Mytilus edulis: one gene and its partners. The protein of the gene in region 1 purifies or fractionates together with the protein of each later gene. This does not show direct contact. Links are inferred from orthologs where the notes say so. Each region holds a gene or a part of one and is shown in the gene's direction. Other genes may lie near its edges.

Region 1 (7,111 bases):
CTTATCTTCTATCTACCAGATGAGCAACATTTATTTACTACTGCAATGCTGTCTGAAACTATCGGGTCAATTTAATTTTAACAAACTGCACGACCAAAACTATTCTCCACTGACTGAAACAGCATGTCAAAAATGTGTCACTATATACAAATCCTTGGAAACTATTTTACATGGTAGAATAAGATAGATATAAACTTTAAATACAAACATATATGATCAGCAAGACAATATTTACAAATTTAAGTCCAAGATCGTCAGTCGACTTGTCCTTTAATGACAATTTTCCATTTTATTATTTTTTGTAGCATTTTCGGAGATTATCTTGGAAACTAATATATTAGATGGATAGAAACTTTTAATCGCAAAAATATGACCAAGACACTATTTACAAAGCATAAATCTTTAGTCAATCTATCTTACTTTTCACTTCCTGAGTATATACCTTAATATATTTTGAAAGGTATATTTAGGAGGGGGAATTAATGAGACAAGTGCCTGTGATCAGTGGCGGATCCAGAAATTTTTATACATGTTATAAGTGGGGGCCCAATGACTGGCCTAAGAGGGGGCCCGCTCCAGTCACGCTTCATTGATTCCCTTTATAAGCAACCAAAATGTATCCCAAAAAGGGGGCCGGGCCCCTGCCCCCCCCCCCCTAAATCCGCCTCTGGTAATACGAATCCTTGGTTATTGCTTTGAAAAGGTTTCTTCTTCTTCTTCTTCCCGTTACGAGTCGAACTCTGTAGTAAAGTGTAATTGACTCGGGCGCATCTCAAACAGACAGGAGGCCACTCCTCTGGCCAAAAGTAAAAGTCCAGGAAATAATCTGGACAGTATTTACAATAAAAATATGATATTAATTACATCTTTGTACACTGGTTATCCTGCTGTCTATTTCAGATGTGGCTGGGTCCAGGGGATGGTATTCACTCTGGCCCTGAAGTCCTCTAGGGATCCGGACTCCACTACAGATTCGGGGAGTTTATTCCATTCTCTAGTTGTTGGTGGGAAGAATGAGTGGTAGTATACGTCCCTCTTCACTCTAGTTTGTCTAAGTTTGTGGTTGCCCCTGGTCCTACTGTCTCCTGTCGTGTAGTATTTGGCTGGATCAATGGCAATCATCTGATGTTGAGTCTTGTAACACAACACAAGACTCTGTTTCCATCGTCTGTGTTGCAGTGATTCCCATTGAAGTTGGTCCAGTAGCTTAGTTACACATCCAGGAGAGTTGTCCTGGTAGCAACTATAAACAAAGCGAGCTGCTCGTCTTTGTACCTGCTCTATGTCGCGTATGGTGGTGATTTGGTGAGGATCCCATACTGGGGAGGCATATTCCAGGGTTGGTCTTACGAGCGTAGAGTAGGCTGTGGCTTTTGTTGCTGGAGTACACCTACCAAGATTTCTCCGTAAGAAGCCAAGTGTCTTTGAGGCTTTCCCTATGGTCTGGTTGATATGGTTTGTCCAGGTGAGGTCTTTGTTGATAGTGAGCCCCAGGTATTTCCCGCTGTCTATTGTCTCTAATGTGTGTCCATGGAGTGTGTAGGACGTCTGGTGTTGATGACGTCGTCCTGAGACACGGATGACTGTGCATATCTCCGGGTGGAAACACATTTGCCACTCCTTTTCCCATTTTTCCAGCGAGGTTAGGTCTTTTTGCAGCAAGTCTGCATCTGCTGTATTCCTAATGCGGCGGAAGAGTAGACAGTCATCAGCAAACAGTCTAGCGCTTGATGTTGTTGCTTCAGGGAGGTCATTGATGTAGGCCAGAAAGAGTAAGGGGCCCATCACAGTGCCCTGGGGTACTTCAGATACCACGTCAAGAGGGTCCGACTTATGGTTTTCAAGGATCACAGACTGAGTTCTGTTAGACAGAAACTGTTTAATCCATTCCAGCTGGGGACCTCTTACCCCGTAATAATCCATTTTACGAAGAAGTCTGGCGTGTGGTACCTTATCAAAGGCCTTGGCGAAGTCTAACAGGATGATGTCTGTCTGGTCGCCGTCCTCTATGTTTTTAGCTATTTCATGTATAGTTATTACCAGCTGAGACTCGCATGACCGTTTGGTTCTAAACCCATGTTGTTCATCGCAGAGTATGTTGTTTTGGTCAAAGTGGTCCATTATAGAGCTGTGTACTATGTGTTCCAGTAGCTTACATGAGATGGATGTCAAAGAAACTGGACGGTAGTTTGCAGCTGTATGCTTTTCCCCTTTCTTAAAGACTGGGACTATGTTGGCTGTCCTCCAATCTTCTGGTACTGATCCCTGGTCCATTGACAGTTGGTACAGTCTGGTCAGGTAAGGTGAAAGTTGATCAGCCATATTCTTTAGGATGAAGGCTGGTATGTCATCCGGGCCAGTTGCCTTGAACGGTCTTAGTCCTCTAAGTAGCTTAGTGACACCATTCTGGCTGATGTTTATTAGTCTCATGGTTGGATATGGACTCGGCCCTTTATCTGGCATGTTGTTTAGGTCTTCTTGGGTGTATACTGAGTGGAATTGAGTGTTTAGTATAGCAGCTTTTGTTGGTGTGTCGCTATGTAGGTATCCATCTTTATTTTTTAGGGTTGTTATTCCTGACGATTCCTGTTTCCTACTCTTTTTGTATGACCAAAATCTTTTAGGGTTCTTGTATAAATCATCACTGACTATGTTTTGCATGAATTTTGTATGCGCTCGTCTAGACTCTCTTTGAAGTTCAGCTTTAATGTTTTTATACCGCTTCCAGTCCTTTGTTGAGTTGGTGTGGTTAGCTTTAGAGTAAGCTCTTTGCTTCTGTTTGCTTAGACGTCTTAGTTGGTATTCATCCAGGGATGGCTCTGTCTAGCAAGTGATGTTTTTGTTGGTACGTGTTTTTCCATGGAATCCTTTATAATTTGTTTAATTGATGTCCACATGTTGTTAATGTCATCAAAGTTTGTCTTTTTGAAAGTATCAAATTGGCTGTCAAGGTGTTTCCCTATACTCTCCAAGTCTGCTTTCTTCCATAGGTATATTTTTCTCTTTGATGGTTTCAGTTTGTTGACATTTGCTGATATGTCCACTAATACTATATGTCGTGGTCGCTATTTCCTATAGGTGGCAGTGTTTTACATCTCTCTATGTGTCCTGGATGGCTTGTAAACATCAGGTCCAGTATGTTGTTTCCTCTTGTGTTGTTGTTGTTTATTTGCTGGATTGACAAGTCAGCTGACATCTGTAAAAATGCTCGATTGATTGATTGTGGCAGTTGGTTACCTTTAATCTCATTTCTTTCCCAGCTGATATCAGGTAGGTTGAATTCACCTCCAAGGAGGAATGTGCTCCTTTTGTTGTTGTTTCTCAGATTTTGTATCTCTGTGATTGTTTTCTCCACATATTTACTGTCTGTTTTATTTGGTGGTCTGTAAAAGCTAGTAATTATGTACTGTTTGGTTCCCATCTTTATTTTGCCTGTTATCATTTCAGCTTTGATTCAGAACATTTCTTTTTTGGGAAAAAATAACAGATATATTTTGTTTATAAATATATATAAACCGTGGTCGTTCCCGTTACGCCTAATCCCTTTCCTAAATCAATTATCATGCATAGTCAAATAAATTTAAATCAATTCACGGGGAAACCCAGTAACCTTGAATATCTAATTTTAACACATCACTTTGATTGGCTTCTATTTTTGCATAATTTTATGTTTGGAATTCCAAATTTCGGGCAGTTTGCCAATCATAAAATACAAGACGAAGGAAAATAATGTTTTGCATCCTGATTTTTTAAGGGGAGTCTAGGTAATCTGTATTTTTTAACAATAATTCACGTCAATTTTGTATGAAGTTGTAAACTAAACCGAAAGAGGTGTCTGATGATAGTACTCTAGTACACGTTTCTTGTGTATGTTGTTAAAAATGGACTCGTCTATGTATGAACACAGAACCCTTTTTGAAATATTCTTGTATTACCCGTACTGATGTTTGAGGATTTACAATGAATATTCGTCTAATGCTCTTTTTATTCAAAGTAGAATATATAAATTTTTAACAAATGGTTAAAAAATAAATTTTCAAAACGATTTCTCTCCGCGAAGAATAAATGTATCTAGGTCATGACTCACACAGGTGTTTTGTGTGTTTTCATTCGGAACACGATCATTTAAACAGGCGCGCGTCTTTCGGTCGTTTTACCACTTTAATATAAAATAGTAACAGATGGTTTACAATTGTAAATGAACCTTATATTACAATCCCTAATTTTGTATACATTAACTTTTTTTAAGATGTCAAGGGCATGTATCGATAAAAATACTACCGAGACACGCACCTTTACATATGTGTTAGGACGAGTCTACTGAAATTACACACAGGGGAAGGCAGGCAGTTGTTTATACGGCCGACAAGTACGTCGGTGATACACAGCTGTGGAAAATGTTAATTTGTTAATGATTTAGGAAATTCCAATTTATGTGTTATATACGTTAGGAAAGGTAAGCTTTCATTGCATTAGAAAACACTACTGGTCAACCAAAACAAATATAGGATTTTGAAATTTGGGTGGAAACATAAACTGATGTTTGAAAACCAATGTCGGCCATGATGAAACAGTGTGTGCTAAAAATATCCGCGGGAAAGGCGTTGCTTGTTCTGTATTTATTCTTCAACGTAATCACTATATAACAAAGCACATAACATAACATTTGTAAAATTAAAACAAACAAAAACTTTTATTTTTTTTTTTACAAAAAAAATTGTCTCGGCCCCCTCCCCCTTTCTGTGGTTTGAAAATTTATTGACGGTCAATAACAAATTGAGCTAGTATTTACTGTTTAACAACACAATACTTTATCATATTGATATTATCTTAAGGTTTCCACATAAGGTTTTGTGAGGGGTTCTTCATCTTTTTCTGTAAGCATGTGCTCACAACTTTGATGTTGATAATTTGGTCCCTTTGTTTCTTCTTGCTTTGTTGTGTTAGAAGTCTTACGAATACTCCTTGCTGTTTAAAAATCTGTCCCGCTTTTCCGTTGTGGCGTCATATATTGTCTATTATGACGTATAATTTAACGGGATTTTGTGATGTGCACTAATTGCGGACAAATGGCAAAAAAGAGTATCATCTAGACCCTGATAAAATAAAAACAGCAGTAATGTTAAGAAGACGCAACCAAAAATACATGTATCTTGTAAAATTAAGAAGATGTGGTAGGAATGTCAATGAGACAACTCTCATAAACAAGCAAAAGAGACTGTAAATAGTGTTTGATGTTCACGTTGCAATTATGAGTAAAACAGCTATATTTATAGAAAAATAAATAGATCTGGTGAGATTGCTAATGAGGCAAATATCCACCAATAGACCAACACTTGTACTTTTATTAACTCTTGAATATCTTCTTATGCAAAGATTGAGAAATAATATTGATTGCAAGATTTGAAATTGACTGTTTTTCATTTATCAAAGCTTTTGAACAATTTCATAAACTGTAAAACGAATTTGTTTGATAAAAAGTTTTTTTAAGAACTTTCTATTATATGATTCAAACAATTGTAAACTAAATTAATTTCACCTTTTTGTCTTTCTCAATTTTACGACTTTCTGTCCATTTTATTTTCTGGCATCAGTTTGTTTTACAGAATTTGTCAATCTTGATCATAATCAAAACATGTTTTTTACAGCTTATAAAGTAAACATCAAAAGTAAATGAATCCGGGAGACACCTATCGTTCATTTACATCTATGATATTCATATTTAAATTGAAATAATTTATACTATAAAATACAGGTCAAGTTATATTAGTATTGAATATTTTAAACATGTTCCATTCAAGAGTTATGTCCCTTACTGTAAATGTTGATAAATGTATTTCCTTGGATTTCAGATGATAATAATATTACTGTGTGACCAAATCTTAAGGCAATTATAACATAGTGTCATCAATCATAAACTACATGTCGAGTTCAATTTTCATGGTATTGACATTTCCGTTCCAGAGTTATTCACCTTAATAACCTTTAAACTTTGATATATATTTTTTGGTCCATGTGATAAAAAATCTTTTAAGATTTTAATATAATGCTACAAACAAAAGTTATATGAAACATAAAATATAGGTGACATTGCAATTGGGATCTAATTTAGGACCTTAAATTTTAAATTTATTTGTAAAAGAGGGACGAAAGATACCAAAGGGACAGTGAAACTCATAAATCTAAAATAAACTGACAACGCCATGGCTAAAAACGAAAAAGACAAAACAGACAAACAATATACACATGACACAACATAGAAAACTAAAGAATAAACAACACAAACCCCATTAAAAACTAGGGGTGATCTCAGGTGCTTCGGAAGGGTAAGTAGATCCTACACATGTGGCACCCGTCATGTTGCTTATGTGATAACAAATCCGGTAAATAGTCTAATTCGGTAGGTCACATTCATGAAAGGGAAGGGGATTGTAGTTACGACGTAAGGAACAAAGAGTTTCTACAAGCAATGTGATCTAAGAGTCACTGAATTCTAGTTTTCTGATTTAACCCACATTAATTTAGTAGAAAAAAATCAATTTCAACTGGATAATTTAGTGTAAAAAAATTTTGTTCTCATATAAACCAAATGAATTTTCCTTTGGAAATAAATTAAGTTCCATGCACAAGTTAACTGATTTTAGTGTAATTGGGATTGCTTTGGAAAAATATGTGATTTCCCTGATTTTGTTAATGAAATTGAAAAGAAATTGCAATTGCTAATCTATTATATCTACCTTATTATTTTTTTTTGGCATAACTTATATTATTGGTACAAAAACATATGTGCTTGTCAATTTAATAATGAACATTATATACTAATGAAATGGTTTTGTTTGACAGGTATACATCCTATCCTAACTATACAGGTGTACAAATAATGCAGCGAAGAGTTGACGAACAGGTTAGTGATCAGATTCAATGTATATATAATATTTATAATTATCACTTTTTACCAAATTTTCATTTGACCTTACTGACTGATAATTTCCTTTCTCAGCAGAGAAGTGCAATATGAAAAATTATCAGTAGAAACTAAGCGCGCACATGTCGTTCTCAATGAAATAAACAGCTTCGTCATAAGTAAAAATTGAAATAGGGATAAACAGAT
Region 2 (7,413 bases), on another chromosome or scaffold:
TCATGAACTATTGTTACAACACTTACAAATCAATAAGCTTTTTATTCTGTGCCTTGCATTCCTGTAGTATATCATTTTCATCCATTAATTCTTGAAGGGTGACATCCTGTAAAATAAACCATCATTCTCCTGACTTCAAATATCGAAATCAAACAGTCAAAACACACCTACACTAGTGTATACAAAGGGGTATGTAAATAAAAGTTGCATATTGGTAGAGTACAAACAAGAATGTGTCCATAGTACACAGATGCCCCACTCTCACTATCATTTTCTCTGTTTAGTGAACCGTGAAATTGGGGCAAAAAATCTAATTTGGCATTTAAATTAGAAAGATCATATCATAGGGAACATGTTCACTAAGTTTTAAGTTGATTGGACTTCAACTTCATCAAAAACTACCATGACCAAAAACTTTAACCTGAAGCAGGACATACGGAGGGACAAACAAACAAATTGACTAACAGACCCACAGACCAGAAAACATATTAAATGCCCCTCTACTATCGTAGGTTGGGGTATAAAAATAAAGAATCAATGATGTACAGTGGAGTCCCCAGTGTCTACGTGGCCGGTGATATGCAAATAAAATCTTTCTATAAATTAATTGCTTTAGTATTCCGAATGGACAGAAAAGATTAAAATTGATCATTTCAAGAGTAAATTTTAAATTACCATCCAATGATTAATCACATTTAGCCAATTTCCATTGCCAAATTATATTTTCAGATAAAGTTGGTTTCATTAAAGTCAAAATTAAATCAAATAGATCTAAATTTTGCTCTGCATTCTTGGCATTCTGTTTGGTTCAAATTCAACTACATTTCGTACTTTAAAATCTTTCCTTAATTCAAATAACCCATTTTCATAAGACTATTAATGCAAGCGAAAAATCACCAGAAGAACTCTAAAAACAGTGGTTTCCCTAATTTTGGACACACATTACACAAGAGCTTAAGGGTGAAACCATACATGCAGAAAATTTTATGAAATAAGTTAGTGATGAATTTGTTCACATAATATTATATTATCTTATTATTAGTTTTATCATTAAATAAAGTGAAGTCATAAGACTTTATGTGCGCGGATACACAGAACTGCACCATAATGTTTTCTAAAAATTTACAATATTGATTGAGACTTACCTCCTTTCCAAGCAAGGTATCAATCTTTGAAGTTGTGATAAGATTAAACTTCCAAAACATCTTGTTATCTGGAAAAGAAAGATTCAGTTAAGATTCTGATATGTTATATAGTTATGGCTGATACAACTACAAGCTATAATTCAAAGTTCAAAATTAACAAGAATGTGTCCAAAGTACATGGATGCCCAACTCACACTATCAATTTCCATGTTCAGTGGACCGTGAAATTGAGGTCAAAAGTCTAATTTGGCTTTTAAATAAGGCCATATCATAAGCAACAAGTGTACTAAGTTTCAAGTTGATTGGACTTCAGCTTCAACAAAAACTACCTTGACCAAAACTTTAACCTGAAACAGGACAGACGAACGAACAGACGAACAGAAGGATGCACAGACAAACAGACGGTCACAGACCAGAAAACATAATGCCCCTCTACTATAGTAGGTGGGGCATAAAAATAAAAAATAAAGGAACTTTATAACTTCAGTAGTCATATCTCCTTATTTTTATATGTCAGTAACATACCCACAAATGTGTTTATCATCAGATGGAGAACGAATTGTGGACAGATGGCTACTTATGAAATTTTTCTGGATTGATATAAATTTGATTTGATTTTTTGGTGTTTTAACTCCACTTATAAGCACCGTATTTAGGCTATTTTGTGGCAGCCAGTTTTTATATTTTTTTTAAAAATAATCGTTATATGCTTTAGCTTATAGAAAGTGCCATATTTTTTTTTAATTTATAGGATTCTGGCCTGTAGATTCAAGTTCATCATGAAGACTAAATAGCACCAAGGTGCATGTTTCACACCACTCCGCCATGAAAATCACTTTAAATGGTTTAAAAATAATAATTTCTGAGTACTAAAACTTTAATCAGAAAACAAAGGCCAAATGATTTGAAAAACTACCAAACATTGATATATCAAAACACAATGACTCTTTTTGTCTATATGAACCAGTCTATCAATTGGACCAGCTGAAAAGTGAAATGTATTATAATAAAAATGATTTCATTTTGGCAATTAGAACTGAAACGTCATACAGTTTAAGGGACTTGTAAGTACATCTAGGTTGTTCAAATACTGTCTTTACCACTGACATACAACATCACAGGCGATCTATATCATCTACATTGCACAATGACCCATCAGCACATCATACCTGTCAACCTCTGGAAATGAAAAGTCAGGTCATGACCTGCATTGAGAAAAAAAATCTCAGGTCATAACGCGTACGACATTTTGCGGGCTCAATTGAAGAACAAAAATATGTTTATATATAATTATATAGTCAATATGTATATGAAACAGTTAGAACATGTATACAAGTTTATTTCAGACTATTGTTATATTCCATAGTAGCAGACTTGGCATTCTTTAAAAGAACTGCACTTGGTTTCAGTTCATAGCAATGCAAATATGTATTCATTTTACAAGAAAGAAGAGCACACAGTGTATCCTTATTAAGATCAGCCCTAAACTCTGTAGCTATTTTCTTTACTAAAGAAAATGCCCTCTCACTGTCTGCATTGCTGTTTGGCAAAACCAGTAATGTTTTAGCAAGTTTTGACAAAACAAAAAATCTTGGCTTGTTTTCAACTACCACTTTGTTATTTTCAACTGAAAGGGCCCTCTTTACTATTTGGGTGGTTTTAGTTTTTCAACAGGAATAACCTGAAGCTATTTCACTGTCAGAGAACATTAATTTACACGGTACGTAGCTCAGGTAAACAGTCCTACATTTTGACTTTTGGTTACATTGAAAAAGACCGATAAAACCGAAGGTCGTATTACTTCTAAATACCGGAAACAATTCCGGTCAGAAATCCGGGTGAAACGGGTAATGTTAGAAATTCCCGGGACCCGCCGGGTAAAGAAAAACTCCCGGGTGAGAGGTGAAAATAACGGGTGTCACCCGCAAAAAACGGGTGAGTTGACAGGTATGGCACATTGCCTATAACATTGTTCAAGTTTGATTTCTGTAAGCGGTTATTAATAAATTTGAATTTCTGTATTAAAAATGAAAAATTTATGTTTCATCTACTTGGTAAAAATAAAAATTGTCAAAGAAAGTGAGTATGGTGACCAACAGGGCGATTTCGTTTTCGATGGTAGGGCACAACAAAGTGATGAACACAAAAGCTATATTGTCCCCCCAGTTGCCTGCTAGCGTAAGCCCTAGGTACATCATTACATTACTGCTATTTGTCCGCCATAACTGGATATCACACAGGTTCCCGTAAAAATTTTGACCGTCATAAAAACAAAATAAGTGACGCCACAATGGAAAAGAGATTGTTGTTGACGTCAAAAGTTCAAGCAGCTGACCTGGGATTAGCAATAAGGTGTATACACCTTATCGCTATTTGTCCGCCATTACTGGATATTACACAGGTTCCCGTAAAAATTTGACATCACAAAACAAAATATCTGACGCCACAATGGAAAAGTGATTGTTGAATGCGTCAAAAGTTCAAGCAGCCGGGTCAGCCGGGATTAGCGATAAGGTGTATAGGCTATAGCCATGTTTTCACATTCCAAACATTCAAAACCATGTTTTGCCCTCAAAATATTTTGACTAGATTCTGCAGACAGCTTGAAATAAAACATGCTATTTTGCACAGATTTCAGTATTTGTGTCTTATTATCACGACAGGACATAATTGAAGGCATTGTATACCCACAGTGGTCACAGACTCATGACACTGCTAAAACCTATGGGAATTGAAAGTACTGTACGCAAACACGCTCGACAGTGAAATTAGCAATATTTACGTGGACTTAGCATGAAGTAAGAGTGTTAGCTATATAACGATAAAGCATAAATTTGTTTATTAACCTTTGGAGAAGACTGTGGTTTATTTTATCAAATGTAAACACGGAGAAACTTCTTCAATATCAAATGTACTCCACGGGTTTCTTGGTTCATTTCCAATTTTTCATGTTGAGGGATTCATGACATCAAATGCAATTAGTTAAATATGATTCTATGGGTTGGGTTTTGCAATAATTAATAGTCAGATCATTGAATAACCAATAAATATATGATATTTATCATGTCAGGCGGGAACGAGTACTTCTCAAAATGGCGACGCTGAATATCCCATAATCAATTTTCTGCGTTCTCACGAGAAATTTGTATGATTTTTATTTTTTATTCTATTACCACAAAATGAAATTTTATTAATAATTAAATAGCAAAATTATACTTTAAATGATTTAGTTTTTTTATTATCAAGCACCTGCGCTGTTGTCATAATAAATTTGAATACGCATGCGCGTTCATTGATGTTCCACTTCAGGCGATCATCTGAAAAATCTGTAGTTTACAAACGGACAGAAAAAGTCTTTCAGCTCTGAAAAAAATTATTCCGGTAAGAATTTTTGAGTTAAACTTTGTTTAATAGACATTTATTTATAATTTTCGTTGAAAATTGTGAGCTGTTACATTCTCTATTTTTCAAAAAACGTTATTACATGACCAATGGCATATCACTTGTTACCGGTGTGTAAGGAGCGGTTTCTCAATTTTTACATTTTTTAAGAAAAAACTAACTGTGACAGTTGTCAAATTTGAAAGTTTATGATTTGTTTTATATTAAGGATTAATTTTAAGATTTAATTTTTATTTCCTGTTTTGAAATTAAAGATTTTTGGTGAAAAACTGTGCACATGTATGTACACGATGAACTTGATCTGGGCGATCTGGGCCTGCGCCAATCATAAATTCCTTTGTTCCAAAATAGGAAAACGCTGTGAAGCGTAACCTTGTCCAAACGGTCATTGACACAATTACCCAGAGCGGCCTATTGATTGGTGGTATGTCGATTTATCATATATGTAGAAAGCGGACGTTCACCATAATCAGAATAACCATTGATTAGGCAAAAGAAAATATGTTATAAAATAGGAATTGAAGGAATTTATTGATTTGTGAGAATGACATTTATATTGATAAAACACTAATAGTAAATTTAAGTACAAAGGGGTTAAGTGGAGTGAACTATTATATAATAAAAGGACTTTTTAATTTATGTTCATCAGTATAGGACAAGGATTTGTATAACATTATCAAGAAATTACTATACAAATCCTTGTTAAAGATTTTTTTTTTTTAATCACAATCAGTAAATAATATAATTTGTAACATATACATACATTTATAAGAATAGTTGAGATAAATTAAAACGTAAGTTTATTTTTGAATTACAGAGGGCTGTATTTTATATGTTTGGGATACATTTGGTGATTTTAAAGATATATTACACTTATCAAGTTATGTGAACTGTCAGGCTGAATAGTACAGTTTGTCTGATTACTGTGGCAATCATAACATCCTTATTTTTATATTTATTAATGAAAGTTATGTTTTTTTCAGATTTAAAAATAACGAATACATATACAAGGAAAGATGTTCAGTTTTCATAAACCCAAGATTTATAGGAGCAATAACGGCTGTTGTATATGCCGAGCAAAATCATCAAGTTCTCGCTTTACTGACAGCAAGCGATATGAATGTGACTTTGAAAATTGCTTTAGAATTAAAGAAAGACGTGCTGGTGAAATATGTAATGCATGTGTACTTTTGGTGAAAAGGTGGAAAAAGCTCCCCTCTGGAACTAACAGACATTGGCATCATGTAAGTTTATATTTTTGACTTTTAATTAGATAAAACAAATTGATTTTAGAGAGATTAAAATTAGGGCAGTATCTGCAAGCTATTGATTTTTCAAAAAAATAGTTTATATCAGAATAGTGATTATTTTAATATTGGATAGCTAATTTTTGCGCTGTGTAAATATTTGTCATAGTTTAAATTCCATAGATTACACACAGGGACTGATCAATGTGTGTGTCAGAAGTAGGTCATGTTACCTGACATAGTATGTACTCTCAAGACAGGTCTTAATACATATGTATTGACCTTCAGTATCTCAATGATTGATCTTGTGGTGTACCAGAAAAGATGGGTTATCCAAAAATAGATATTTTATAAAATTTATAAAGTAAAGAAAAAAATGTTAAAAAAACCAAGGTACAAGATATATTTGAAATAAAGTTACCTGGGGCAGTGATTGAATAATTAATTTGAAAAAAAATACCATATTATTAAGTTGTGAAATGTGTGTAATTTTTCAAAAGGGGGATCAGATATAATTGTTTTCATAGTGTTAGATAATATCTGAAACCAATTATCATCAATTTTCTGATGACATATATCAGATATTTGTAAGATGGGGACATTTTCCTTTATAACTACTGACAATATTTGTGTTATTTATTACCCTCTAGAGGGTATAAAGATTCCTCAAAAAACATGTTGACATGCAGTGAATGTTAGCTATAGAAGTTAGACAGGCTCATCCTGTTAATCAACTCTGTGTAATCAATGTCATAAAATGAAATCTGATTATGTTAATAGGTCAAGTCTGTGTTACTTCCTTATATGTAATGAGGCTGTAACTAAAATTTGAGCTAGACGGATTTAATTTCTAATATAAATAAAAAATATATACAATGTTTGTTTAATTGATACCTAGACTTATTTGGAACTAATACATACATAATTATTTATTGCCAGCATTGGTCCAAGTTCTTATGTAATATTACATTATTAAGCATTCCTATAGAAAGGTCATATATAAATAATTACACAAGTTAAATTGAAATTAGTTTTACTTGTAATATTTCTTTCTTGGGGCTTACAAAAAAAAAACTTACAATTGAGGAACCATTAAAGTTAAATGACAATATTTCTCTGTTCCCCTATCAGGTTTATTAGAGAAATAAACACTTGCTTTCCCACCATAATATTGAACTTTGTATGAAGGCTAAACAAGCACCTGCCTGTTTAAGTGTAGTGTCCTTATAAAATATGTGCATTTTAATCTGAGTTTTAAAGTATTAAACTAGGTCATTGACTGCTTTAAACCGTCTACTGCACTCTGAAAATTTAAAGAATAGGAGGTTGACTATATTATCAAATATCTTTCTATGAGAAACTGTGTGTAATCCAAGGTCTATATATTTTTTTTGTTCATGTAATAGTTAGCTCATTTTTAGACAACATTATGTTTTTTTAGTGTTTTTGAAAAAAAAACCTGTTTAAAATCAATAAAGAACTCAACTAGATTCAGACAGACTCATTTTCTCAAACTGTCATGGCTTTTGTCACATATATAGTATGAAAACTCATCTGAAGCATGTATACAATATTTTGATAATTTGAATTACTATTTTCATTTATATGTTGTTTTAATA
Region 3 (7,599 bases), on another chromosome or scaffold:
AATTATTATTTTTTAAATGCACTTGAATCCTCATTTATCACAACTTTCTAACCGGAACAACTAAACGAAAACGAAAAGACCAAAATTAAACATCTCCAATATTGGCAATAATCAAATATGTCAATACCAGTAAACACTTCTAAAAAATAAATCTGCTTTATTGTATCTTCGTGTTGAAGATAATTAAGAGCGAATATTTTGCACTCCAAAAGGAAAACTTTTGAAACTATATCGCACACATGATTTTTACAATCTAAAAGACAGGGTATGAAGTCGTGAAAGATTGACGTATTTAATGATGAAAATCGAATTCAATTTTAAAAGAATGTCATGGAGTGGTATGTGTCCGATATTGTGATAAAGCCAAGTTAATATTTTATCACCTAAAAGCGAGTTAAAGTAAATTATAAACACAAATGATTTATTTGAAAAATCGAAATTGTTTGACACAAAGACCGATATGAGTTCAATGATAACGGGATATCAATAAAACGTAAAAACTGTAGGATACTTACCCCTGAACAAGACTGTAAAGTGTGAATACAAGAAAAACCAAATTTGTTTCCATGTTGCTCCTATCTTATATGATAAAATAAAAGTCACTTGGACAAGAAATAGAAATTTGATTGCAACGTGGCTTCCGCGTTTTGTATACGTTTAAATTGTCATATCATTTGTTTACTCGTGTTGAAGGTATAAATGGTGTTTCTTAAATTCCAATCAATCAATAGAGTTGAATGCAACAGCTGGTGAAGTATCTTTGATTATTTTTATGAATCGTAGGTGCGCAGTTAATCAATATGAAACGTACGTGTATCTGATTAAATTTTGGTTTGGGTCTTAATTGACAGTATAGATACAAGAAATACATAGATATAACTATGTAGACTTTAAAATCTATGACGATGTTTAGTTTCTCTTTTAAAAAAAATACAGATGCAATTCACCCATGCTTGATCGTTACGGAATATCTGTGTTCCTATTGTAAAAGATTATATAGTTGTTAGATCTCATATGTAGTATAACGTATAATTAATATTATAAAGTTATAAATTATTTATTTATGAAAATCTTCAATATTTTTGATTGTACTCAGTGTATTTTTATTAATGCTTGATATTGTGATAAAATGATTTTAAATTGTTATTAAGCTTTTGTATTCTCTACTAATCACATCAATGAACAGTTTTATTCAGTGCGGCTAAATAGCAAATTTGCTATTTGGCCGGTGCCGGTCAAATAGCCACTGCCTTCTTTATATGTATTCTACAAAAGAGGGGCGAAATATACCAGATGGTCATTCAATCTTGTATATCGAAAATAACTAAAAAAGACAAAGACTAACAGACAAATAATATAGTATCAGATACGGATTTAGAGGGGGTCCCCTTTTCTGGGAAAAATTTGGTTACTTATATAGGGAATCACTGAAGCATGACCGGAGCGGGGCCCCTCTTATAGGCAGTCAGTGGGCCCCCACTTATGAAAATTTCTGGATCCACCACTGAGTATACATGACACAACATATATAAAACTAAAGAATAACTGAGCAGCATGAACCCCACCAAAAACTGGCCGCGTGATCTCAGGTGCTCCGGATTAAGTCGTAAGTAGACCCTGCTCCAAAAGTGGCACCTGTCGTGTCGAATTCAAGCCTCGACTATACGTTAGATTGAAGATTTAGTAATTCATTATCATTTCAGTGGCGGATCCAGAACTTTTCCTAAGGGGGGGGGGGGGGGGGGCGCTGACTGACCTAAAGGGGGGGGCACTCCAGTCAAGCTTCAATGATTCCCTATATAATCAACCAAGTTTTTCCCCGAAAAAAGGGGCCTGCCCCCCCCCCCCTTCCACCCCCCTGGATCCGCCTATGCATTTATATAGTTCAGAACCTCTTTCAAATTTTGTCTGACTAAAAAATAGATCCCACATTGTCTGACTTATCAGTATAAACAGTTCGACTAGACTTTTATATAGACAAGTCTATGAAGACAACTCTGACCGTCAATAAGTTAACTCGGATCATCTATAAACCAACTCTGAGAGTCTGCAAGCCAAAGATAACTTGATATGTTTTTCAAATTTAGCAACACCATGTTAAATATAACACAGTCTGATTAAAACCACAATGAATATAAAATTAAAAACTTAATAATCATATATATATAAAGTGCCTAGAAAATATATATATATATGATTATAAAGTTTTTAATTTTATATTATATAACAACTCGTCTAAACATCAACCCAACAATGTTAGATCTGTAAATTTGCTTTCGCAAATTTTTGGTTCTTCCCTCGCCGGGATTCGAACCCATGCTACTGTGATATCGTGACACCAAATCGCCTGCACGGCAGCCGTCCCGCTAGACCTATATATATGTGTATGATGTGTTAATCAGTACTTGCGTGATGGGTCCGATGTATACATCTGTTGTAGAGTTGTCACTGACTCAGACGTACTTATAAATATAATTATTTTCTGTGACTGTATATTACATTAATTTGTAGGATCCTTTACTATAGATAATTTAGCTGATCTGTAACAATAACATCTTCATGCCTTATATATTATGTACTGTAGTACGCCGCTAGATTAAAACTGACGAAGAAAGGTAACACACGGCCAACGAAAGCTCTTCTTTTGAGAGCCCAGGTGGTCGTGTGGTCTAGCGGGACGGCTGCAGTGCAGGCGATTTGGTGTCACGATATCACAGTAGCATGGGTTCGAATCCCGGCGAGGGAAGAACCAAAAATTTGCGAAAGCAAATATACAGATCTAACATTGTTGGGTGGATGTTTAGACGAGTTGTATATATATATATATATATATATTTATATATTGAGTTCAAATGATCTTTAAAATACTTTGTCCGCTTAGTTTTGATTAGGAGGCGTCCTGATTTCGAAATCCCAATGTCCCAAATTTCAGTAGTAAAGAAACTTAAATCCCGACATCCCGAAATTCGAAAAAATAATACCGGATCCCGAAATTCGAAAAAATAATACCGGATCCCGAAAGGATCAATCCCGAAATCCTGAGTTTAAAAACACCCAATCCTGACGTCCCGATATATAGGTTCTGCATTATAGAGGTTTTTATTGGATCTCAACTAGTCAAACTAGTATTGACGGTCCAAGTTGTCCCTCATCGCTAAAGCAGCTACATAAACGCCTGTCTCTTTTTTGCATCGTTTTAACACTGTCGTAATTTAAAAAAAAGAAAGACTGGATGCTTAAGTTAACAAGATCAGGGTTGATGGGTATGCACAAGTGTGGGTATGTCACTGCTTTTATTTTTGTCGAGCCTGCAACTTTTGTTGCAGAAAGCTCGACATAGGGATAGTGATCCGGCGGCGGCGGTGTTAGCTCACTTCTTAAAAGCTATATATTTTAGAAGGTGGAAGACCTGGATGCTTCATATTTTGTATATAGATGCCTCATGTTACGAAGTTTCTGTCAGTCACATGTCCATTGTCCTTGACCTCATTTTCATGGTTCAGTGACCACTTGAAAAAAAAAGTTCAGATTTTTTGTAATGTTAAATTCTCTCTTACTGTAAGTAATAGGATAACTATATTTAGTATGTGCGTACCTTGGAAGGTTGTCATGCCCGTCAGACAGTTTTAACTTGACCTCGACCTCATTTCATGGATCAGTGAACAAGGTTAAGTTTTGGTGGTCAAGTCCATATCTCAGATACTATAAGCAATAGGTCTAGTATATTCGGTGTATGGAAGGACTGTAAGGTGTACATGTCCAACTGGCAGGTGTCATCTGACCTTGACCTCATTTTCATGGTTCAGTGGTTATAGTTAAGTTTTTGTGTTTTGGTCTGTTTTTCTCATACTTTATGCAATAGGTTTACTATATTTGTTGTATGGAATGATTGTACAGTGTACATGTCTAGTGGGCAGATGTCATCTGACCTTGACCTCATTTTCATGGTTCCGTGGTTATAGTTAAGTTTTTGTGTTTAGGTCTGTTTTTCTCATACTTTATGCAATAGGTTTACTATATGTGTTGTATGGAATGATTGTATGGTGTACATGTCTAGCGGGCAGATGTCATCTGACCTTGACCTCATTTTCATGGTTCAGTGGTCAAAGTTAAGTTTTTGAGTTTTGGTCTTTTTATCTAATACTATATGCCATAGGTCAACTATATTTGGTGTATGGAAATATTTTATGATCTATATGTCAGTCGTGCAGGTTTTATTTGACCTTGACCTGGTTTTCACGGTTCATTGCTCAGTGTTAAGTTTTTGTGCTTTGGTCTATTTTCTTAAACTATAAGCAATAGGTCAACTATATTTGTTGTATGGAAGCATTGTTAGATGTACATGTCTGCCTGGCATATATATGGTTCAACTGACCTTGACCTCATTTTCATGGTTCATGTTAAGTTTATGTGACGGTCGTAATAAAGCTTTATATTTAGGAGTATCAACATAATATCAATGATTAGTAAAGAAGGCGAGACATTTCAGACATTTCAGTGTGTGCACTCTTGTTGAATTAAGGCGCGTTATGAACTTGTATAGTTAAAACCAAAGAACATCCGAAAATAGGGATATTCCAAAACGCATGCGTAATTGAATTGTTTTCTCTTGAAAATACAACTTCCGTTTACCGCATTTTACATTATTTTAAAGTAAAGTAAAGTATCTCTTATTCTGTAATATCTAATATTTAACAGAATGCCGACAATTGAAAGTGAGAAGAATGAAACAGAAGAAGAGGAGATGGATCACGAACCAGCTGAAAGCGATAAAAGCTCAGACGAAGACTCAGAATCTGGCTCTGTTGACGACGACGAAATATCTGGTAAATAATTATTTCAAATTCCGAGAGAAAAGTGAGGTAGTCTTTCTTAAATTTTGAATGCTACTTATAAAAAACATTGTTTTTTTATTAGTATATGATCATTTGAAGCATTGTCACGTCCCTTTTCTTCCATAAAAAAGTGTCTAGAAATCGACTTTTTTCTTTCATTTGACATTTGTAATTTAAAGGGCTAATATATTATGAAGGGCTTGTATGCCATATTGTCACTGAAGGTATGTAGAATTATAGTCATGTCTTATCACACCCATTTCGTACCTAAGTCTTTGACCATATGGACGACTGAATATGTATGCCAACACTTTCTATGCGCCACATTCAATGTTGTGGTTATTATCATAATATTCATGCCATGTGCTCATGTAGAACACTTTTAGGCATGACACACCACCCAGTCCATATATCTACATCTTTGAAATGCAAAGGGTCTAGGACCCATCACGCAAGTACTGATTAACACATCATACACATGTATGCAATGTCGTTTCACATAATAATACATGTACCAGTACCTCAAACTTGTTATCAAAATTATTGAGAGAGGTCTCAGGTTAAGGTCACTACATACAGAAAAAATTGCAGCTAATTAGTGTCAGGGAAGTCAATAATTCAATATTGATCAGAACATTTATGAACATTTTGATAATATAAAAATGTTTCTTTGACAAATGTTTGAAAATGTTCACTTTCACTTCTTTTTAGACTCAAGAGAAATTTATAGATAATCATTTGATAATAGACCAAGGAGCTAAAAGGAATATCTGTTTAGAGGGTGGTAAAGGGAGGCCCTCAACACGGAAACACGTGAAATAAAAATGGCAAAAGCGTTGCATGGAGAAAAAAAAATCGGAAAAAACGAAGCACGAGAAATAAAATAGTAAATATTAATGTAAAAAGTAAAAAATAATTTATTGATCAGCCGTTCTTGGAGATCATCTAGCCATTATATATGATGGACATGATGACCCTGCAGTCACATTTTAGCGTCCGCTAGTCGCAACTGATTTAAAAGAAAAATATTATTCATTATAATTAATTTTATAGCAGTTTTAAAAATTCTGTATGGGAACACATAATTTAAAACAATCTCCTGACTGACCGGGGCTTTGAATTTAATCCCGGCCTGACTTTAAATCAAATGCAGGACAAGCACGAGAAATTAAGAGTACCGACACAAAACACGGAAAATAAATAAAGGAGAACACGAGGCACGCACGTCGAGCCAAACACAAGAAAACGAAAAATAAAACTTCAAAACACAAAAACACATGAATTAAAAAGGCCCCCTTAGTTGCTTCCCTGGGCAACTGAGGGTTGATGTAACAGGTGATTGTTAATAAAATATGTTTAATATAAAAAAAAAAAAAAAAAAAAAAAAAAAAGGCGGAAAACGTTGCACGAAAATAACCCTTTACCACCCTCTGTTTAATTTTTTCCTACATTTCTTTCATTTGTTTTGCAGACCTAGATGAAGAAGAATATGACCACAGAAGAACTCATTGTTTAGATGAAATGGCAGATCTGGAAAGGCAGTTTTCTGATATAAAAGAGCAGTATGTTAGATATTGTTACTATAAAAGTAAATTGATGGGGGACACCACTTTCAGCATGGTTGCTATTTCAAGGTCATCCGTATGTACAGGTGGAGGAAGTCAGAGAGAACTGCTGACCTTCTGTAGGAAAACTGAAAAATTTATTCAATTAAGATTGTAATCTTAAGGCACTTGCTACATGCAGTTCCTACTCATAGTCTCAGGTTCAGTGTTGACAGGCTAGTGATACAGTAGTTGAAATACTTACTCTAGTTGCTCAGAGGACCCCTGTGACCTTAGAACTTGTGGGTGTGTGCAAAATTGCACTCCTTTTGTAAATGATGAACTTTGTTAAATTAATAATTATTTTAAATTGAGTAAGAATTTTTGGCTGGTATTATTACTAACTCCTACTGTATGTCATAAATTCAAAAATGACTTCTGTGGGGTTTGTACTGAAATATAGTGTTTCCAGACAATATCTTTTGTAAAAGTAAATATAAATCTATGAAATTTAAACACAAGGTTTATAACCACAAAAGGAAAGTTGGGATTGATTTTGGGGGTTTCGCTTGGAACAGTTTAAGAATTAGGGGCCAAAAAAAGGGCCCAAATAAGCATAAACTATTATACCTCCTTAGAGAGGACAATTATTTTTTGCGTTTATATACTACTTTAATATATAGAGACTCTCTGCATTCTGTCTCAATGTTTTCTTTGAAATGTTTACTATTTAAGGGGTTATACCAGTTGCATATATATTAAAATAAGTAAAACATGTGGAAACAAGAATGTGTCCATAGTACACGGATGCCACATCGGCACTATATTTATTAAGTTTCGAGTTGATTGGACTTCCACTTCATCAAAAACTACCTCGACCAAAACCGGACATAAAAATTTATTGTTGAAAGTAAAAGTAGTGATTTGGCAAAAATGAAAATAGGGTAGAGATTAGAGGGAGGCAAGACCTTTTTCGTGACATCGGGATCAGGTGTTTTTTTACAGGATCGGGGGTTATATTTTTCGATTTCGGTATTTCGGGATATGAATTTCTTTAAATACTGCATCTTCGGAATTTCATGTTTTTAAGCCGGGAGTTCCGGATCAGGACCCCTCCGACCACCCCTCAAATTAGCCTTAGTCGGTCTTAGTCATTTATACAAGATTCATATCCTACCATTGGCATGTTAATAAGGCTCCAAAAAGAAAAATCACTAATG
Region 4 (7,514 bases), on another chromosome or scaffold:
ATATATGACCAAAAACAACTTTGAATAAGAAATACTTTGTTAATTTATATTTTGACAAAAATTATCAACATAAATTTATTAAAAACATTTACCAGGCATGCGCCGGAAAGTAATCATCAGTACCGTTTGATGGTTTTCTGTAACAAAAGAAGAAGAAGATTAATAACATGTGCGATTAAGATTTTGATGAACTTTATACACACCTGCATACATTACATGATCGGTCCAAATTTTCACTACAATAAGCAAACTTGAACGTCTAAATACTGTCATTCTTTCTTTAATATATTTCTATAAACAAGGAATGCAAAAAGATATTATCGTATTGTAATACATTTTCTGGTTCAAAGAGTTTTCGAACAAAAACGTACTGCTTTACCAAAATTTCAACTAATTTTTAGGGGAGATAAATTGGACTACTTACCGTGTTGCTATACAATGTATGTAGTATATAAAGGAGGAGGCAATTGTCACCGACTTTCTTTAACCAGTGTGAAAAAGTGACTCATTCCGTAAAAATTAAGCTTAGTTCCCCTAATTTATCTGTACTAAAACATGATTGCCAAGATGTATAGCCACTCACTTAGTCCCACCCTACATTTTTTTACGAATTAAAATCCTTGAACTAGGACAATTTTGAATTAGCTGCTTATTAAAAAAAATTGTGCCTGATCGTGGACTGCCTTAGAGGGGATCCACTCCAGACATGCTTCAGTGATTCCCTATATATAAATCAACAAAATGTTTCCCACAAAAGGGGATCAGACTCTCTGCCCCCTCCCAAAATCCGCCTCTGGAAACTACCATTTGCTGTAATAATTAAGTGATCCAGGAACTGGCAATATAAACATCTGCATGACCCATCATCATGTCAGGAACCTCGTCAGCAATTGTATCTTGGTTTAAGTTTTACGTTATATTGAAAATTGGGTGTTGATGGCACAGCTGTTTAATTTTTGACAACTTTTATAGTTTCTGTGCGATTAAGATTTTGATGAACTGTATACACACCTGCATATATATTGTTAAATATAAAAATAAGATGATGTGGACGGTATGGTTTTCTACGAGACAATACTCCACAAGAGACTAAATGACACAGAAATTAACGACTATATATCTATAGGTCACCGTACTGCCTTTAACAATGAGCAAAGTCGACATCGTATAGTTGCTGTCTTGAGAATTCACGTATACCTGACATCTATTCATTTTTTTTAATTCACAATGGGCTTCCATATTGGGATGGACGGTCAATCCTTTTTTTATGTTGGTATAGTCGAAGAAAGATTTCTTATCTATTGTATTATTGTAAAGACTGTTTATTTATATCAACAAGATTATGTTGTTATTTTAACTCGCATTTTGATTTTTTTTATATGAATTAAACAGGATTTTTAATATTCCGAAGAATGTCACATTTTAGTCTTAAATGACAAAATCGCAAAAATAAATGTTCGAAAAAAATTTATGAATTAGTAATAAGGTACACCAAGGCCGTAACTAGGCATCTTATTTTAGTGAGGCAAAATAATTGAGCCGAGCGAAGCGAGGCGTTAAATTTTTTTGGAGGGTATGAAATGAATGGTGCAAAATCCTGCGTTCTAGGCATTTTTAGAGAGTTTGATAATATTTTGAATTTGGACAGTTTTTATATAAATTGTTCATATTTAAAGACTTTTACTAATACCAAATTTTTAACAACTTTATTTGAATTTGTATGTAAGATAATCATCCAAATATCAATTTAAATCTGCCGCCAGAACATAGAACAAACATCGATTCAGTAGAGTTTGTCAATTATTTCTATGGTGGGTTCAGTCAATTAAATTGTTTTAGAATCATAACTTTGGTCTGCTGATATCCTTATCGCGATGAACATGGAGCATGGCAAGACCGCACAACCTCTCGCCACTCATGTATGCTCTTTTCCTAGATTTCAGTCGTTTCAGGTCAGTCTGTGTTTCTAAAGGTAGCACATTATCATCAACACAATGATCAATGTCTTCTTCCAATTCCTTCTCCATCAGCAATTCGGTAGCAGCATCGGTAGTAACAGTTTTGTTTGCAAAAGGGAATTAAGCTTTCCTATAAAGGCTAGCATCATCATACAGTCTCAGTTACAAAATATTAAACTCGCTTGTATGCTGACAAAGAGTAAACAAACTAGGGATAGAATGAGATAAGATACATGTATATGATCTATCTATAGAGTATTAAGTATATATGATATGGGTACAGGGGAATTAAAATGGAGTTTGACGTTTACATGTAGGTCCGTAATTTCAAATTATTTCTGGAAATAGTCGGTGGTATTTTAGTTCCAGAATCTATAAATTAAGGGGTTATGGGTTGGGGGTGTCTGATTCCGAAACCCCGAATATAAAGAAATGAAATTCCGTAGTCCCGAATAAGTAAAGACAAAATCCTGTGATAAAGGTTCTATACCATTCCTCAATAATGTCAAATTGGAATATGGGATGTTCTTTCAATTTTTAAGGATAAAGAAACATGGATCATGAAAAACTAATCCATGCATGTTTCATATTATTTATATTTTATTTATCTGTAAAGAGAAAGATTAAAGTTGATGAAACTGAGAAATGAATACACAGACAGGACTGCCCCCTTGCGATGCCCACTACTTGATTTGTCAGTCTACTTATCGTTTTTGGATTGTTCTAATGAAGTTATATGCAATACGCAGACTACGTTCACAAACAAATTAGTTTACTAGAATTATTCCTTCTTTACCTTCAGTGTCGCTTTTCCTTTTTCTGCAAGAGCCTGTTTTTAACCAGAGATCCATGATGATTATCGTTACTAGGTTAATGTAATTGAGAAACATCACCCGTTGAGATGCTGAGTTATATCCAGGAAGAATAGTTTAAAGGAATGATGACAAGTTATAGAAATTAAGGTTGAGACAGAACAACAAAAGACTATTTTATTTGTATATATGTATAAAAAAAAATAATCAGTGTCGAAATTTTAGTGAGGCAATTGCCTCACTTGCCTCAAGGGTAGTTACGGCCTTGTACACATGCAAGTAACTAGTTTTACTTTAGACTTTGAAAAAGATCACCATTGACGTCCAAGTGGTTGATTCATGGCATGTCATACTCGTATTCATATATACGTTTCGTATGTATGGCAATCTCGGTAATCCTTTTATGTCAATTAATTGCATCTGATTTAATGCCCATTATCGGCCCTGTAATTTGGGAAATCATTTTTTTTTATTCTATATTCTGTTCTATTCTATAGTATAGGTAAGTTTTGAATATTCAGTGCCATTTGTATCGAATTCCCAATAGAAGTGAAGCAATCATTTGCGATAAAAATACACCCCCTACAAAAAAACCCCAACAACAACAACAATAAAAAACAAAACAAAAGCAAAAACAAACATAAACATTAAAAACGAAAAAAAAACAACCCCAAACATTATGATTAAAAAAAAGACTTATTTTAAAAAACTTAAAAAAACGACCAAAACTATTTATGTATGTGCCTGTCCCAAGTCAGGAGCCTATAATTCAGTGGTTGTCGTTTGTTAATGTGTTACATATTTGTTTTTCGTTCATTTTTTTTTTTTTTTATATATAAACAAGGCCGTTAGTTTTCTCGTTTGAATTGTATTACATTGTCATTTCGGGGCCTTTTATAGCTGACTATGCGTTCTAGTATGGCTTTGCTCATTGTTGAAGGCCGTACGGTGACCTATAGTTGTTAATTTCTGTGTCATTTTGGTCTGTTGTGGACAGAAACTGTTGTCTCATTGGCAATCATACCACATCTTTATATATATATATAAAATCTATACAAAACAATGTATAATCATTGAATGTTTGCAATGACTAAAAATTCTAAGCTAGTTTTTTTTCAATCATCGGCACGGTTCAAAATGACATGGCAATTTATATATATGTAGACAGAGACATGTCTCTGATGTAGAGTATCAAAAGGTGCATTATATAAACAAAAAGTCCCACTACTAGCGTCATGGCTACTTTTTCACTATGCTAGCAAATATCCAAATGTGCATGTATCTTTTTTTTTAATCTTACCAAATTAAGCCTGAAATAATAGTAACTACTGCCCACCACATCGTTGTACGACTGTCAACTATCTATATAATTTATCTATTTTTCTGTATAGTCTTTCAGATATATCTAATTAGAAATCAGGTATTGCACATGATAAAAAGACAATTATTGTAGTTCCCGCATTCCTAATACACATTATATAAAATTGCAAATAGTGAAAAGTCTATCCCCCTTTTTTCTCTTATACCAAATAACAAACAAACAGACATTTTAATGACGTATTAAGAATGTGGATAATATACAGTAAGATCTGAACGCTGACTGAAGTTTATGATTATACTATCCTTTTAATTATGAATACGATTCAGTCGTATACTTGGCCTGCTTACGTGGTACAAAACATATGTAAATCATTGTGCGTGACTAAACAAGCTATAACAAATCATTTTTTATTTGGCCTAATGATTGATTTTCATTGTATTCAAAATACAGGATTTAAAAAAAGTTAAGTTTAGATAAACAATTAATTAATAGGATTTAGATAATAACAATAATTAAAGTAAATTTCAAATATTCCAATTATTTTCATCGAAAAAAATTATGAACTTTGATACCCTACAAGATATATGTATGTAATCTCTATGAAAGACATCAAAATAGTTCGGAGTGAAAACCAAAGCCGCCGAAGGACGAATGACGTCACGTGTGAAAAGAGGAGGAAGACAGAAAAGCCGAGAAATGGCGACTCCATGAAATGTCGTCTGGGGGTGATACTGACCGGACACTACCCATATTTTATTGATGTATTTTTGTCGGCTTGTTGGACTTTTGGAACACAACTGAGAGAACAACACAATAATTACCAGTCATGGCTGCAAACATGTACAGAGTAGGAGGTACGGAAGAATTATTGGGAAACAGCATGGACGGTCCCCACTCTTCCAACGCGTTGGAATATTGTGTCACCATAATCATGCATTTAAAGAGAAATAAACCGCATTTTTTAGGAAATTTGTTTGTTTACTAGTGAAAATGGATATTCAATCATTTTTGTGAATGTTTTGAAGTGTAATGTGGAAAGGAAGTTCAGTTTGGGGATCTCAAGGGGGAAGTAAAGCGGTCGGAATGACAGAAGGAAGAAGTTTTTCTCCTTTTCTAAAACATGGATTTACGAATGTTTATCTAACAAATCAATGGAAAGATTCGTATATTCAGTTTGTATTACAATTATTTATATTAGAAAAATACTTTAAATTTGAATTCAACTGGTACTTAAGTTCAAGGAAGCTTTTTAAAATGGACTATGTTTTGGCGGAAGGATTATACTACAAATTAATTTTAAACAAAGAATTTTTATTTTCTTATTACAGATTACGTCTATTTTGAGACAAGTTCAACAACTCCATACCAAATTCGACGTATAGAGGAACTAAACAAGGTACAGCATTTTATTTATTTTCTTTTTTATGTCGTAAAATTAGCTGTTTAATAAAAAAGAATGTAAATTGAGGCCGGTAAAGGGCAAAGAGGTACCTATGGGGTGTTAATTTATCACACTGGGTGGTCACGTGTTCAGGTGATCGAAATGGCTTCGATATCAGATGTCTATTTTCATTTTTTCAGACTCCAAATGGCAACGTCGAAGCAAAAGTTATGTGTTTCTACCGAAGAAGGGACATCTCCAGTTCACTTACCCTGCTTGCCGATAAACACCAAAGTAAGTCTGATTCTACTTTTGAAAATTGACTGCACATAAGTTCTGTGTGTTGACAGTGCTTGCTGTGGAAACACAGCATCATAACATTATATTTTCAGAACTTCAAGAGTTTCATATGTGTAAATTGGGAGTATTTACATCAGGAAAACAACATTAGCACGTGGATTTTGTACTACAAACGAAAATAGTCCGGCAATGAGAGAGTTGTGATTGGTTAACTTTAGTTCATTGATGAGATGGGGCTGTACCTTTTCAAAATGTAAACAACACCCATTCCCAGGGCATAATATCAACTTTTGGTCCATATTACTCGCAAATAAAAATATATATGCGAGTCTTCTCTTACATTGATTAGAGGAAAATATATTTTATTTTGAATTAGTTTTATCTTGTGTTGTTGACTACATGTATTTGTTGTCAGCTTTAAAACTGACCCATACATTGTAGGACATTAGACCTACACAAATGTAATTGTTCTTGATTTGTTTAAATTGCTTTAATTGTATAAATAGAATAACGATACATTTTAAACAACTAACAAGGACAAACAAAATTTGGGAAAGTTAGTAATTGTATCCTATTATTAAATATCTAATAACAGCAAGATGTGTTGTATTTTAAGAATTGTTAGTTTCATACAAGGTTTAATTTTTGCTTCGCCAAGCCATTTCTTACCTAGATAACTTTACAAGCACAGTAAAAAATACATAGCAAAACTTTTCATACCTTGAATTTCAAATTTCGTTGTTGATAAAAAATTTGTTTTTTTGACTTTTCAATATTTTACTGAAAGATGGTCATAGAATGTCTTAGACTTTATATTTTGCAGTTGACATTTAAAGACAGTCTGGTCTTGATTTTTTTTCATGAATTTTCATTTTAAAATGATAAGATTAAAAAGACTATCATTTTGATGATTTTTTATGAAACTTGAAAAGAAGCTTATTTCAAGATCAAGAAATGAAATACAAAGTAACACCAAAAGTGCGTATAAATCTAAAAATGGCAAAAGTGATGCAGGGTTTTAATAACAATGTTTTTGTGTGGAATTTCAGAAAGCCTCTAAATTATGTATCAGTACAATTATTTTTAATTTAAATTTGTCCTGTTATTTAAAACTTTGCTTGGCCTTAAATATATAAAATCTTGTTTCCTGTCTCATGGCATAAATCCGTGGATTGAAACTTTTCCTTGTCTAACAACACAACATTTTTTTATTTTAAAATTTATTGAATGAATGTTGAAAAAAATTAGACATACATTGTACATTTGTACATGTTGGTTTTTCTGTCCCTTTCCATCAGTCCAGCAAATCAATTTTGAAGATATTGATTTGATATTTGAGATATTATTTTATCTTAACAAGTTATAGATCAATATAAAAAAGAAGATGTGGTTTACCGATAAAAGGCTTGTATAGTCTGCGGTTTATTCTCCAAAATTGAACCTACCAGCTGGGGTGCGGACTAAAGAGTACAATAAGCAAGAAATAAGAGAAAAATTCAAATTTCGCACTCTTTATAATTTTTCGAACTAATAATTTTATCTAATCCATATTAATAAGTTATTATTCAATATCAAATTAATATTGAATAATAATATAAATTTAGAAATTAAATGCTTCATAACAAATTTCTAATTTCTTTTCATTGCATTGCTTATAAAATAAACTGGTATCTGCTTGAATGAAGCTGTACCAAAAAAGTAAGAAAGACAATCATAAACCAGCTTACAGTGTGTAAATTAGA

Evidence for each region.
Region 2: the proteins of paired amphipathic helix protein Sin3a-like (region 1) and SIN3-HDAC complex-associated factor-like purify together in Homo sapiens (affinity purification with mass spectrometry; 4 studies listed by BioGRID and IntAct, counting the BioPlex papers as one, with this or other methods). This does not show direct contact. The link is inferred for Mytilus edulis from reciprocal best matches to the Homo sapiens genes SIN3A and SINHCAF.
Region 3: the proteins of paired amphipathic helix protein Sin3a-like (region 1) and breast cancer metastasis-suppressor 1-like protein-A purify together in Homo sapiens (affinity purification with mass spectrometry; 3 studies listed by BioGRID, with this or other methods). This does not show direct contact. The link is inferred for Mytilus edulis from reciprocal best matches to the Homo sapiens genes SIN3A and BRMS1L.
Region 4: the proteins of paired amphipathic helix protein Sin3a-like (region 1) and metastasis-associated protein MTA3-like purify together in Homo sapiens (affinity purification with mass spectrometry; 3 studies listed by BioGRID, with this or other methods). This does not show direct contact. The link is inferred for Mytilus edulis from reciprocal best matches to the Homo sapiens genes SIN3A and MTA1.

Annotation. Positions count from the first base shown.
Region 1 is NC_092354.1:81,250,417-81,257,527, reverse strand, and holds the start of paired amphipathic helix protein Sin3a-like, read left to right. Parts: upstream 1-4,085; 5' UTR 4,086-4,456; intron 4,457-6,843; 5' UTR 6,844-6,880; coding exon 6,881-6,904; intron 6,905-7,111. UniProt on the Homo sapiens protein: Acts as a transcriptional repressor. Corepressor for REST. Interacts with MXI1 to repress MYC responsive genes and antagonize MYC oncogenic activities. Also interacts with MXD1-MAX heterodimers to repress transcription by tethering SIN3A to DNA.
Region 2 is NC_092353.1:70,783,567-70,790,979, reverse strand, and holds the start of SIN3-HDAC complex-associated factor-like, read left to right. Parts: upstream 1-4,407; 5' UTR 4,408-4,526; intron 4,527-4,882; exon of another isoform or gene 4,883-4,971; intron 4,972-5,530; 5' UTR 5,531-5,563; coding exon 5,564-5,791; intron 5,792-7,413. Other genes in the region: serine/threonine-protein phosphatase 6 regulatory subunit 3-like, read right to left, coding at 27-106, 1,146-1,205. UniProt on the Homo sapiens protein: Subunit of the Sin3 deacetylase complex (Sin3/HDAC), this subunit is important for the repression of genes encoding components of the TGF-beta signaling pathway.
Region 3 is NC_092346.1:84,390,184-84,397,782, reverse strand, and holds the start of breast cancer metastasis-suppressor 1-like protein-A, read left to right. Parts: upstream 1-4,595; 5' UTR 4,596-4,699; coding exon 4,700-4,826; intron 4,827-6,306; coding exon 6,307-6,397; intron 6,398-7,599. Other genes in the region: uncharacterized protein, read right to left, coding at 516-568. UniProt on the Homo sapiens protein: Involved in the histone deacetylase (HDAC1)-dependent transcriptional repression activity. When overexpressed in lung cancer cell line that lacks p53/TP53 expression, inhibits cell growth.
Region 4 is NC_092346.1:39,274,225-39,281,738, forward strand, and holds the start of metastasis-associated protein MTA3-like, read left to right. Parts: upstream 1-4,512; 5' UTR 4,513-4,917; coding exon 4,918-4,945; intron 4,946-5,419; coding exon 5,420-5,487; intron 5,488-5,672; coding exon 5,673-5,766; intron 5,767-7,514. UniProt on the Homo sapiens protein: Transcriptional coregulator which can act as both a transcriptional corepressor and coactivator. Acts as a component of the histone deacetylase NuRD complex which participates in the remodeling of chromatin.